Canis lupus familiaris: one gene and its partner. The protein of the gene in region 1 purifies or fractionates together with the protein of each later gene. This does not show direct contact. Links are inferred from orthologs where the notes say so. Each region holds a gene or a part of one and is shown on either strand. Other genes may lie near its edges.

What was found. The genes of interacting proteins can lie anywhere in the genome.
Region 2: the proteins of SLAMF6 (region 1) and SH2D1A purify together in Homo sapiens (co-immunoprecipitation; 5 studies listed by BioGRID and IntAct, with this or other methods). This does not show direct contact. The link is inferred for Canis lupus familiaris from reciprocal best matches to the Homo sapiens genes SLAMF6 and SH2D1A.

Annotation. Positions count from the first base shown.
Region 1 is NC_049259.1:22,567,162-22,574,284, reverse strand, and holds the start of SLAMF6 (SLAM family member 6), read right to left. Parts: upstream 4,042-7,123; 5' UTR 3,953-4,041; coding exon 3,904-3,952; intron 1-3,903. UniProt on the Homo sapiens protein: Self-ligand receptor of the signaling lymphocytic activation molecule (SLAM) family.
Region 2 is NC_049260.1:96,499,134-96,506,258, reverse strand, and holds the start of SH2D1A (SH2 domain-containing protein 1A), read right to left. Parts: upstream 4,528-7,125; 5' UTR 4,331-4,527; coding exon 4,194-4,330; intron 1-4,193.

The DNA.
Region 1 (7,123 bases):
AATAATTATTAATAAGGTAAGTGCTGGAAAAATTAGAACCCTCCTACCTTGCTGGTCAGAATGGAAGCTGGACCAGCCTCTGTAGAAAACTATTTAGTGACTCCCCAAAAGATTCATGATAGAATTATCATGTGGTCCAGAATGGATTGGAATTGAAAACAGGTACTCAAATACTTGCACACAAATCTTCATCGCAGCACCATTTACAAGACCAGAAGGTACAAATAACCCAAGTGTTCATCTATATAGATGAGTGGATAAATCAAACGTGGTACATATATACAATGGAATATTATGGAACAGTAAGAAGTGAAGTGCTGATACGTGACACAATATGAATGAACCTTGAAAACATTATACTAAGTGAAGGAAGTCAGACACAAAGGTCACATGTTGTACCATTTCACTGACATGAAATGTCCAGAATAGGTCAACCCACAGAACAAAATCCAGTTAGTACTTGCCAGGGGGCAGCGGGTTGTCAGGGGAAGGGCAAAATTGGAAATTCCTGCTTCACAGACATAGAGTCTCCTTTCGGGGTGATAAACTGTTTTGCGACGATAAAAGCGGTGGTTGCACAACATTGTGAATGTACTAAGTGCCGCTGAATTATATACTTAAAAGTTATTATTTTAAGTTTTGTGAATTTCACCTTGATGAAAGAAAGAAAGTCTGCCTGTAGATGGAGAGACCCAGCTGAGGGGTCTCCATTCCCACCTTGGGGGTGGGAGGCTGGAGGACACATGGGGACAGACCTCAGACTCTGAGAGGTGGAAAGGCACAGTTGTCCTTGAGGATAATGTCAAAATGCAAAACAACTCCCTGCCGCAGTGAACAATAAGGAGCAACTGTAAACCTTGGAAGGTGTGGATGGTTGGTAAGAGAGGCAGCCGACACTGCTCGGGGGAAGGGAGCCATTGGATACGATGTCTCAATGTCTCCGCAGAAACCAATTTTTAACTCAGGACCTCAGAATCACATGGCTAGCTCCCCCGTATGGGCTCTGCCTACACTTGCAACCACTTCTCTCCTCAACATCAGGATACCCCCATCTGCTTCTGGCCAACGTACTCAAAGAATTAGTTCTTATTTCTCCCTTCCTTCAACCCCAAAATGACTAAAATCCCATGAAATCTAGAACCTTGCTACTCAAGGTGTGGTTCACGGAGCAACACTGGCGTTACCAGGGAGCTTATTATAAACGCAGAATGCGGGGCACTTGGGTGGCTCAGTGGTTGAGCTCAGGGCATGATCCCCAGGTACCGGGATGGAGTCCCACGTAGGGTTCCCCGCAGGGAGCCTGCTTCCCCCCTCTGCCTGTGTCTCTGCCTCTCTCTCCATGTCCCTCATGAATAAATAAAATCTTGAAAAAATAAATGCAGAATGTTTGTCCGCATTTAGAATCAGTATCATAAGATTCCCTAGTAATTTGAATGCATATTAGTGTTTGATAAGTTCCCATCTAGAGAGGATACAATGGAGAAACAAATGCGATTCATTTTCTCCAGGGCATGATGATACCTGATTTCAGTTATACCTCTTGGGATTATTTCTCAACATGGTTCATCTTCTCAGTTAATTTTTAAAAAAAATAGCAAGTTATGGTGTCTGACCAACTGGGAAGATGGTAGGATGGCACGAATCATCTTCCTTCATACTGTTTTTCAAAATTGATTTGATTTGTGCCATATCCTTGCCACGGCAGATCTCTTTCCCTTCCTCAAACTCTTCCCAGCAGAGGACCTTTGCACTCACCTGACCCCACTCAAAGCAGATCCCCTTGCTTTTTTTTTTTGTTTCAGGGTACCCTGCCGATTTTCTTCCTCGCCACACATTTTGTAGTTATATATACACATTTTGTAGTTTTATATATATATATTTATAAATATATATAAAATATATATATACACACACAGACACACATATATACACACATTTATACATACATATATGTATGTGTGTGTGGTTATATATATCCATTTATGTAATAATAAGTAGCATAGCGGGTGATTATGAGCACAGACCCCCGGAGCCAGGCTCCCTGATTTCCAACCTCGGCACTCATTGCCCCCATCCTGCGCTCAGAACACTGCAAGTGCATTCACAAACGTCTCCTTTTCTGCACCGCGGCCTGCGGTGCCACCCCAACCCATAGTTGTGTGACACGAAGTAAGTTACTGAAGTGTCACATGGCTTCTTTCCTCTTTCCCCGAAGTGGGAATGACAGTGTCTATTTCACAGGATCTCTGTGACAGCTAGCAATGGAAATGGGGAGGAGCAGGGGATTTGTAACCTGAGGACATTCTGAATATTTCATTTCATGGTGGTAAAATGAATTTTGCCCGGAGGTAAAAGGGAAGCAAAGATGTGGGGCTTCGCCCCCAGGCCAGGGAGCGGCTCTTGAGTATAGAACAAATCCCCCCTCCTTCTGCGGTTACGCTATAGCCCCTGGCTCTGTCCTCCTTGCACTTTCTCCTAGGCTTTGTTCATTAGTTGGCGCCAGGACTTCCAAGCCTGCGGCCTGCAGTCCTCAATCTCCAGGAGCTCTCCGGAAATCTCCTGGGTAGCACACTGATGTCTTAAAATTAGTAGGTCCCAAACTGAGCTCACCATCTCCATGGCTGCTCCCTCCTCTGCTCCCCTTTGTCACCCAACTTTGTCACCTTGGGCCACTCTGTCCGAAAGTTCCCTGCCCTTTCCACCCCCTCTTTCCCTGCTCTGCTCATCTGTCACCTATCCTTGTGCAACAGACCATTTCACTTATTCATCTTGTTTCCCTGCCTCAATGTGAACTCCGCAAGGTCAGGACTTTTCACCTGCTCTGATCTAGTGTCCCCAGAAACTAGAAAATTAATGCTTTCCCCTCACTGCTGTTGCCAGTCAATCTAGTTCATTCTACATCTATGGTGACTCTCTCACTTCTGTGTTTTGTCTTCTGCTACTGCTGTGCTTGGTCAGCGGTCACTGTTTCTCAGAACTGTTGCAAGAGCTTGCCACCTGCTGGCTAATGCAATTTGGGCAAGTTATTGAAATCCTCTTGGCGCCTCATTTAAAATGGGGTCAATACAGTGCAAACGCAGAGGTCTGTGCTGAGGCTCATGTATGTAAAGAGTGCGCAGCACCTGGCCCAGGGCCCGGAACAGAACACACCCTCAAAGAAGACAGCTATTTTTATCCGCTACCCTGAGCTAGTTCTGGCCTAGCTTTCCTGTCTTGTCTCCTGGGCCATCTGTCCCTGAATCCTATACTCTGGCTCCAGTAGCCACCTGTGGTTCCCCAAGCACGACATCCTTCGTGCTTTCCATGTGACGGACTGCGGGGAACCAGGACCCCTCTCTCTGGGTCACAGAGAGTCCTGCTGGACTGGCTAGACCCTGATTTACATCAGAGGAAGGGAGAGATCTTTTTTCAAAGTAAACAAAAACTAATAGATCTATTTCTGGTGTTTGAACTGTGCCCAGAAGTTTCGGTTCCACCGAACCCTGGATGTTCAGTATTTTCGCTGAGGTTCGTGAGGTTCAAGAAGAATAAGCCACCTGCCTGAGGTTACAGAGCAAGACGGGAGCCAAGTGGCAGGAGGGGCCACTCTCCTGCATCACAGCACGCTGGCCCCAGACCCCAGGCCCAGGTAGTCTGCTCTCAGGAAAAGCTCCCCTCCCTGTGCCCGCAGAGCCGCCCGTGGACGCGGACACGAGTGGAGCCGTGATCCCTGAGGGAGCTTGGGAGCGTCTTGTGCTAACCGACAGGAGGTGGCACTTTCTCAGGCCCACCCGGTCCCTCCATCCCTCGGCAGAGACAGACAGACAGACAGACAGACAGACGGTATGCCCAAGTGACTTAGATGGAGCAAGCTGCGCAAAGCCCGGAGGCCCTCGGTGGCTGCGAGGCAGCGGCGGCGTTTACCTGGCCGGAGGAGGAGGAGCAGTGGGAGCAGCAGGAGCACCCAGAGCATGCTGTCAGCCGCCCAGGCTGCTGCGGGGGCTCGGCTGGCCCGGGCTGCCTGCACCGCCTGTCACAGACTGGAAGTGCTCTTACGAAAACTTCCTCATCCTATCAGAAGTGGCGCACGCCTCTTCCTGCACACTGCGGGCTTGATTTTGTAAAAAGATTTTTATTTATTCATTCGTGAGAGACACAGAGAGAGAGAGAGGCAGAGACACAGGCAGAGGGAGAAGCAGGCTCCATGCAGGGAGCCCGACATGGGACCCCATCCCAGGACCCCGGGATCACACCCTGGGCCAAAGACGGATGCTCAACCACCGAGCCACCCGGGTGGCCCTAAAAGTTACTGTTTTAACTGCTCGATTCAGTGGCATTACTTGCATTCACAGTGTGGGGCCGCCCCAACATTACAGGCGCACCTCGTTTTGCTGCACTCCTCTTTGTGCCGCGTTGCAGACATGGTGTTTTTTTTTTCCAAATTAAAGAGTTGAGGCAACCCTGGGTCACGCAAGTCTATCGGTGCTGTTTTTCCAGCATTTCCTTGCTGCGTGCCATTTTGGCAATTCTTGCAATATTCCAAACTTTTTCACTATCATATTTATATGGTGATCTTTGATCCGTGATCTTTGATGCTACTATTACAATTGTTTGGGGGCTCCATGAGCCGCACCCATATAAGGTGGTGAACTTAATCGGTAGGTACCGCGTGTGTGCTGATTGCTCCTCCGACGGCCGCTCTCTCCCTCAGTATTGACATTAGGCCAGTGAATAACCCGGCAATGGCCTGTAAGGGTTCAGGTGAAGGGAAGAATCACACATCCATTGCTTTAAATCAAAACCTAGCGGTGATGAAGCTCAGTGAGGACACACGTCCAACGTGGAGACGGGGGAAGGCCTAGGCCTCTGGCACCAAATAGTTAGCCAAGTTGTGAAGGCAAAGGAAACATTCCTAAAAGAAATTAGAAGTGCTTCTCCAGTGAACACAGGAGGAGAAGAAAGCTAAATGGCCTGATTACAGATGTGGAGCAAGTCTGAGAGGTCTGGTCAGAACACCGAAGCAGCCACAACATCCCCTTAAGCCGAAGTTTCTAGTCCAGAGCGAGGCCTGAGCTCTCTGGATTCAGTGAAGGCTGAGAGAGGGGAGCTGCGGGAGCACAGTCTGGAGCTAGCAGGGGTTGGTTTGCGAGGCGAGGAGAAAGAAGCCGTGTCCGTAACATGGAAGTGCAAGATGAAGCAGCACGTCCTCCGAAGATCTAGCTGAGGGAATCACCCAAGTTGGCCAAGCTAACCAACGGTTTGCAGTGTGAACACAGCAGTCTTATAGTGGAAGAGGAGGTATCTAGGGCTTTCCTGGCGAGAGAGGAGAGGTCAGTGCCTGGCTTCCAAGCTTCAGAGGACAGGCTGCCTCTCTTGCTAGGGCCTAACGCGGCTGGTGACTATGAGCTGAGGCCAGTGCTCGTTGACCATTCTGAAAATCCCAGAGCCTTTGAGAATGATGCCAAATCTACTAGAGCCTTGGCTCTAGAAATGACACAACAAAGCCTGGATGACAGCATGTCTGTCTGCAACATGGTTTACAGAAGGTCTTAAGTCTGCTGTCGAGATCTGCTCCTCAGAAAAAAGATTGTTTTCAAAATATTGATGCTCCTTGACCATGCGCCTGGCCACCCAAGGGCTCTGATGGAGACGGACAATGAGATCAGTGTTGCTGTCATGCCTGTTGACACAACACCCTCTCTGCGGTTCATGGAGCAAGGTATCACTTTGACTTTCTAGTCTTATTATTTGACAAATCCGTTTTTGTGAGGCCGTGGCTGCCATTGATTATGACTCGGCTGACGGATCTGGGCAAAGTCAATTGAAAATCTTCTGGAAAGGGTTCATCACACTTGATGCTGTTCAGAACATCCACGGTTCATGAAAAGAGGTCAAAATATCAACATTAGCAGGAATTGAAAGAAGCTGATGCCAGCCCTCATGGATGTCTCTGGGGGCTTCAAGAAGTGACTGCAGATTTGGTGGAAATAGCGAGAGAACCAGAATCAGAAGTGGAGCTTGAAAATGGGACCGAATTGCTACAATCTCTTGATGAAATGTTAATGAATGAGGGGTTGCTTCTTATGCATGAGCAGAGGCAATGCTTTTTTTTTTTCTTTTTTTGAGATGGATTCTACTCCTGGTGAGGATGCTGTGAAGATTGTCGAAATGACAATAAAGTGTTTAGAATATGGTGTAAACAAAAATGATAAAACAGCGGCAGGGATTAAGAGGATCGACTCCAACTTTGAAAGAAGTTCTACCGTGAGTAAAATGCTATTAAAGAGAAACCATTCCTGAAAGGAAGTATCACTCAACGTGGCGAAATTTATTGTGGTCTTATTTTAAGAACTTGCACCTCCACTCCCTTCAGTAACCACCATCCTGATCCGTCAACAACCCCCAACACGGAGGCAAGATCTTCCACCAGCAAAAAGATTACTGCTCGCTGAAACCTCAGATGACAGTTAGCATTTTTTTTAACAGCAAAACATTTTTAGAGTCGTTTATTATATCTGATATGAGTGTTAAGAGATATGATTTTGTATCTGCATTGCTAAGGTTTAAAGATGCTGGCTTAGGGGTGCTTGTAGGAGAAAAGAATTAGGTTGCCACTCACAGAGGAGCGGAGATCATGAGAATCACGGAGGAGAGAGAGAGAGAGAGAGAGAGAGAGAGAGAGATCCTTGAATGATATCATTTGTCTCTGGGTGTAAATACCTGAAAGATGCCCTCTTGAGCTCCCCGTGTATGTGAGCCATGCCTTCTTGTTCCCCACTTGCCTAGAATTTGGTAAGTGACACTGTTGGCCATTTGCCAGCTCTGGAATTTTTGAATGAAAAAAAAATCTCTTTTTTTCTGAAATGCTTCCCCTTGTCCTTTGAATATCAGCTGATATTTTTACTTTTTATCCAATACCTCATTTACCCACCTTTTATTTTTGGTTCAAAGCCATGATCTCCTTAAAACGAGGGCTTGTTTGGTTGCATCCGCAAGTCTCTCATAGTCTGTAGCTCAGTTTCATATACAAGATATCACCTCCTTGAAGAACTCTCCCAAACCTCCTGAAAACCAGGGGAGGTGATTTGCTCTTGTTATTATTCAAATCACAGCATTTCTCAAATGGTTCAGAATTTTTCCTTGG
Region 2 (7,125 bases), on another chromosome or scaffold:
ACAATGAATCCTTGTGTCTTTCCCCTGTAGCACAGTCTGGCAATCACACTCTAAGACTTGAGGCCCCAGTGTGCCCATCAAAAGACATGCTAGGAGACTCCCAGTTTGCCTACTACCATCTGCTACTTCATAAGGTTTGGGTGGAGAACTCAGAGTCATAAAAACTGCATTTATGCAAGATTCACTTTGGGTAAAAACTTAAATGTTCGAGAAATCCCCACTCTGCCTAAGTTAATTCCTTATGTGGTCAAGCCTACATAAGCAAAAGGTTATCCTTTTCTTTTCTTTTTTTAAAGATTTTATTTATTTATTCATGAGAGACACAGAGAGGCATAGACATAGGCAGAGGGAGAAGCAGCTCCTTGTGGGGACCCCAATGCAGGGCTCGTTCCCCGATCCCAGGATCACAACCTGAGTCAAAGGCAGATGCTCAACCACTGAGCCACCCAGGCATCCTGGTAGTCCTTTTCTTTTGCATATTTTTCCAATAGTGATCTTCAGCAGAAGGTAGGCACACATTACAATCCTTATTTAGTAGGTATGAGGACCAAGACCCAGGGAAGTTGAATGACTTCCCCAGAGCCCACACCCTGGCCTGATTATCAGTCTAAAGCTCTTTGCAGGAATGCCTGGGTGGCTTGGCATTGAGCATCTGCCTTTGGCTCAGGGTATAATTCCGGAATCTGGGATAGAGCCCCGCATCGGGCTCCCCACAAGGAGCTGCTTCTCCCTCTGCCTATGTCTCTGTCTCTCTCTCATGAATAAATAAATAAAATCTTTAAAATAAATAAATAAATAAACAAATAAATAAATAAAATCTTTTAAAAAATAAAATAAGCTCTTTGCAGTGAAGAAGAGTATTTGCCTTGGCAATTCATTGGTTAGTTCAAAAATATTTATTGAATGCCTACCATGTACCTCGTAACGTGCCTCATCACGGCTATTATGTGCTAGCCTGTGTTCCTTGTACAGGAGACGATGTCCCTGCCTTCACTGAGTTTCAATTTTGCTGAGAAACACAGCAATACATAAGTAAACAATCAAATATCAGACAGTTTAGAGCTCCTTGAAGAAAAATAAAGTCATAGAGTATAACAGGCACAGGGAGAAGGTACTTAATTTAGATAGGGTGGTCAAGGAAGTGGTCTCTGAGGCAAGAGGCAAAAGTAATAAAGTCTAAAGATGCTGGGAAGAGAGCACAGCTGGCAGGTTTGAGAAACAACAAAGGGGCCAGCATGACTGAGTCTTTAGGTGCATCTTGCCATACTGTCTCATCTTACTCCCCTGCTCAGGCTTCCTTTTTTTGCCTCTAGGCTAAGGGGCTGATTAGCCCCTTTGTCAGCCTCTCTAAAGAAGCCCCTTTCACTTGCCCACTCCTTCCACCACATTCTTTTGAATGAAAAGAGCCCAAGAATACTAGGCGGCTTTCACTGACCTTCCCAAGTTTCCACTTGGGAAAAAAATAACGTAAGCAAATCATAAAGATCTGAGCCCAAGACTAGTATCAAAAAGACAATAAGTAACAAGTGTCAGCAAGGATGTGGAGAAAAGGGAACCCTCTTGCACTTTTGGTAGGACTGTAAATTGGTGCAACAACTATGGAAAACAGTGTGGAGGGATCCCTGGATAGCTCAGTGGTTTAGAGCCTGCCTTCGGCTCAGGGCATGATCCTGGAGTCCCGGGATCGAGTCCCTACATCAGGCTCTCTGCATGGAGCCTGCTTCTCCCTCTGCCTGTGTCTCTGTCTCTCTCTTTGTCTGTGTCTCTCATGAATAAATAAAGTCTTTTAAAAAAAAAACAATGTGGAGGTTCCTTAAAAAAGTTGGAATAGAAATACCATGATCCAGTAATTCTACTACTGGGCATTGACACCAAGAAAACAAAAACACTAACTCAAAAAAATACATGCACCCTATGTTTATTGCACTATTATTTACAATAGCCAAGATATGGAAGCAATCCAAGTGTCCGTCAACAGATGAATGGAGGGATCCCTGGGTGGCTCAGTGGTTTAGGGCCTGCCTTCAGCTCAGGATGTGATCCTGGAGTCCTGGGATCAAGTCCCGCATCAGGCTCCCTGCAAGGAGCCTACTTCTCCCTCTGCCTGTGTTTCTGCCTCCCTCTCTCTGTGTCTCTCATGAATAAATAAATAAAAATCTTTAAAAACAAAAACAAAAAAACACAAGTTATTTTTAAAAAACAGATGAATGGATAAAGAAGAGGTGGTATAATATATAGAAAGGAATATTACTCAGCCATAAAAATGAAATCCTGCCATTTGCAATGACATGGGTGAAGCTAGAGACTAGTGAAATAAGTCAGTCAGAGAAAGACAAATACCATATGATATCATATCTTATGATTTCACTTACATGCAGAATCTAAAAAAGAAAATAAACAAACATACTCTTAAATACAGAGAGAGAACAAACTGGTGGTTGCCAGAGGGGAGAGGGATGGTGAGGGGATGGGCAAAATAGGTGAAGGGAATTAAGAGGTCCAAATTTCTAGTACCTTCTCACACTTCAATTAAAACAAGCTCAGCAATTTAGAAGCTTGGTTATTGACACAGGTTCAATCTGTACCCCCGCCGCCCCACCTCACCCCACTCCTGGTTATAAAATAAATAAGTCACAAAGATGAAGGGTATAACCTAGGGGATATAATCAACAACACTGTAATAACTTTGTATGGTGACAAATGGTGACTACACTTGCCGTGGTGAGCATTTTGTAGTGTGTAGAACTGTCAAATCACTATGCTGTACACTGGAAACTAATATAACGCTGTATGACAACTGTACTGCAAAAGGAAAAAAAAGATCCGAGCCCAAGAGAGTCAAGTGCTTCCACATGTTCTCTTGAAGTCTTTATAATAAATGTACTTAGCAAGGCCTGAGAGTTGCCACAAACTTGGCCTGACCATGTTAAAAAAATAAATAAACAAAATAAACGAAAATCATCTAATAACAGCCTCAGCATGATCTTTTTTCACGGACCCAAAAAGTACTTCACAATCTTGCAGTGTATCATTAGGTATCAAAATTACTACCAAGCATTTTCCTTCATTTTGTTTCTGACTAGAACCGACTACACAGCACAGGTGTTTCACATGTGACACAAAGTGATCAAGCTAGGTCCTTCCTTGGAAATGTGCCATGAGTACTGAAAGAACTCAACTGGAGAAAAATACAATAATAATGATAATAGCTTACATTTACTGGACATTTATGATGTGTCAAGTCCAGTGTTAAATTCTTTACCTGCATTTGATCCTCGCCATCCTATGAGGTAGGTCGTATTATTATACTCATTTTATGGACAAGAAAACTGAAGGACTGAGAGTTCAACTTGCCAAGGTCACAAGCCTGCCATCAGACTAGCACAGGATTAGGTCTCAGATCTCCCTGACTCGGAGCCCTTGAGGCAAAGATGAAGGTACATCTGATTTAAAATGGGTGTTAGACTAAGGCATGCCTAGGCAAGCGGCAAAGCTGAATCATAACAAGGGTGTTTTCCCTCCATGCCCTTTACCACTACTGTCAGTCCTAGCTTTTTATCAAGAAGGGTCCTACCTCTGAAACTCTCTGCCCCCACACACAGCTTCTCTCAAAGAAGCGAAGTAAGCAGATGCCAAGAGGCAGTTTCACTTACAAATACCCCGATTGGCACCCCGACCTAACCAGAATTGCACTCCTAAAGTCACGGATTCCGTTTCTCAGTCTTCTTCCTCTCCCAGAATGTGATGGTTTCCTTTGGGAGGACACCTCCAATTCCATTTAAAGGGATCTGGAGAGAGGTCTTTCCTTTCCTCAGGAGCTGGTGGCCCCAGTTTTGGCCAGTCCACCATGCCAAGGCTCCACCTAGCTGGCCTCGACTAAAGGTCAAAACTGGAAGTTGGGAGCCTGGATCTTTCTCAGAGCAAAGGTAGATTCTAGGCTGCGTTTCCCCACCCCAAAGGGCATTCTCTGCAGCTGCCACAAAAGACCCAGGGAGGCCCTTCTGGAGAGTGAAGGCCCTGGGAGTGAAAGCCCCATGAGGGGCCTCAAAGCACGACCCCCTAAGCTGGACCGTGGGAAGGCCTTGGCGCCGTCACATGAGCCGTGGAGGAGGCCTCAACGCCTCACATGAGCCTGCACCCCCGGCCGGTGCCCTCATGGGGCCTGGAGCCTGCGGCCACCGCGACATACTCACAGCACACACAGGCAGTACACGCCAGGGACGCTCTCGCTGTCTCTCAGCAAATAGCTGCCATCCAGCCCCGTGGCAAGCAGGAGCTTCTCCCCGGTCTCCCGGCTGATTTTGCCATGGTACACGGCTACCGCGTCCATGGCCTGGTGGACTCTTGGGCCGCTGAGGCGTGGGACAGTGGAGGGCAGATGCCACTGCTGCTGCAACCGGGCCCGGAGTCAGCCACCTGACTCCCAGTTCAGCCAGATGTGCAGAAAAAGAGAGAGGAGCACCCGAACCCGAACAACAGGATGTTGTCTCTCTGCCTTAAAACCTCCTTCTCACACTTCAATTAAAACCAGCTCAGCAATTTAGAAGCTTGGTTATTGCCACAAGGTTCAATCCCCCTCCCCGCCCTACCCTACCCCACCCTACACACAGGGTTCGGAAGGAGAAGGGAGGTCAATTGGAAGAATGTCCTGGCAAGATATGGACTGTACTACCAGGGCAGACTCTGGCACACAGACAGGAATGCTTGCTAATGCTTCCACTCTTACAGTTTTCCCAGGGGCCACCAGAGATGACTTAGCTTAACTAAGTTCCCAAAAGGGTTGATGATAGAGGCAAGGTGTACATGGCCTTCTTGTGGGGCAGAAACATGCTGACAGAGAATGAAAGAACCTAAAGCTCTGAGACCAAAACACAGAAACTACCAGAACTATCAGTGTGCAGTCATTCCTGAGCACAGCCAGAGGCTCCTACACAATCAGAAGTAGTCAGTGAAAAACCAACATGGGGCAAGTCTCCTTTTCTACTCTTCCTAGTCATCTTGAGCAATCTTGATCCTGAGTAAACACTGATTTTTCCTACTTTCTTGGCCAAGATCCCAGAGTGCTGATTGACGAACAAAAATCAGTCTATGTGTGAAGACGTTCCATTTTTTTTTTATTTGATGAGCTTTCGATGAGAGAAAGCATCATTTCATTGGTGCTTTGTCTTTTTTTTTTTTTAAATTTTTATTTATTTATGATAGTCACACACAGAGAGAGAGAGAGAGGCAGAGACATAGGCAGAGGGAGAAGCAGGCTCCGTGCACCGGGAGCCCGATGTGGGATTCGATCCAGGGTCTCCCGGATCGCCCGCCCTGGGCCAAAGGCAGGCGCCAAACCGCTGCACCACCCAGGGATCCCGGTGCTTTGTCTTTATGTGGACTTGTTTATGCCCTTTGATGTACAGGACCTACCTTTCAGCATTTGGGGCATAAAAGTTGCTTTAAATCACATCACAAGCGTCAATAATTTTATCCTCTGTCGTTAATAGAGTGTTTTTCCTCCAGTTGATGCTAAACTATCATTAATTTTTTAAAGCCTTTCAATTTTTATTTTCTTCTCTGAAATAAAACATTGCTTCCATTTTAAAATGTGCTGTTAAGTAATATTTCCCCAAAACTTCCCCCTTTTTCACTGGAATAAGACTTTAATGCTTGAAGCTGGATGGTCTTCTACATTTTTCTTTTCAATTATGTAAAATACTTGTAAAACTGAAATTTAAATAACTGAAGCCAGGTGTCTGTTGCATCTCTTCCACAACTTCAACACCTAGTTCCTTGAAGTCATGGTGAGGCTGGGAGCTCAAGACTGGGAGAACAATTTCTAAATCATCACATGCCCTACTAATGGATCGGGTGCACAGAGCTACCTTGCACCACAGCCAGATATTTGTTTGCCACACACTAGGGTTGAGAACAATCTTCTAAAATTTCCATGGCAGCTAGTAGTGACTCACCTTTTTTTCTTTTTTTTTTTAGTAAACTCTACCCCCGACGTGGGGCTCAAACTCATGACCTGAGGTCAAGAGTCACATGCTCTACTGACTGAGCCCACCAGGCTCCCCATGTCTCTCCTTCTTGATTGAAGCATGCCCAGCCCTAGAATCTATCAACCTTAGTAGATGAAGTGTAAACATAAGCCTCTTACAACACCAAGGCTAAACAAAGAAAATAAAACAGCATTCAAGATGATATTTGGGGGTCGCTCTGGGGAATTGAGCCAGGATTGTCTCATCATCTTTCTACCTCACTTGTTTATGGCCAAGTCCACCTTTCACCCTTCATGCTTTGGGTCAAGGAAGAAATCGTTCTAATAAGTGAACGCATATGTCAACGTTAAGGTCTTGAGAAGTCAGTCCGCCCTGAGCTCTCAATATTTTGAGCTGGCAGATGATTAGCCCCGAGAAGTTCATCACAATGGTGGAATTTCAGACATGAAAGAGGAAGATGGGGAAGGGGATCCAGTTCCTCCTTCAGTCCATAGGGACAACAGCCCACCTGCAAGGTGAACGTGAGAACATTGTGTCACATGGGTAAAAAGGAAACCTAAGTTTTGATTGGTTTTGTTGGGTTTTTTTGTTTGTTTGTTTGTTTTGTTTTGTTTTGTCTCTGAACAACCCTGAACAAATTACTCCCAAACTTAGGAACAGAGCAACCTGGATCTGACAGCGAAAGTGTACCATGCATTCTTCTTTTCGTTCTGTTTGGTTTTGTGTTGCTAAAATAGCATACCTGTCAAAGCAGCCAGGTACAAGGGAGTTCAGCACAACTAAACTCGTATAAAAAAAGAACAGATAAATTATAAGGTAATAGTCCAACTCTCACATCTAGCACATCATTGTCATCTCACAAGCAAGCTGACATCTGGGCCGGCCCACTATTGCAGTGTTGATGAAAAATACCAACATCTTCACCCTAGTGCAACACCAGTACTAAACCTGACTTTTTAGCAAATTCAGAACTTGAAGGGTAGAGAAACAGGGTTTGAAATGGCTCTCTTACTCTGGGAAACGAACAAGGGGTGGTGGAAAGGGAGGTGGGCGGGGGGTTGGGGTAACTGGGTGATGGGCACTGAGGGGAGCACTTGATGGGATGAGCACTGGGTGTTATGCTATATGTTGGCAAATT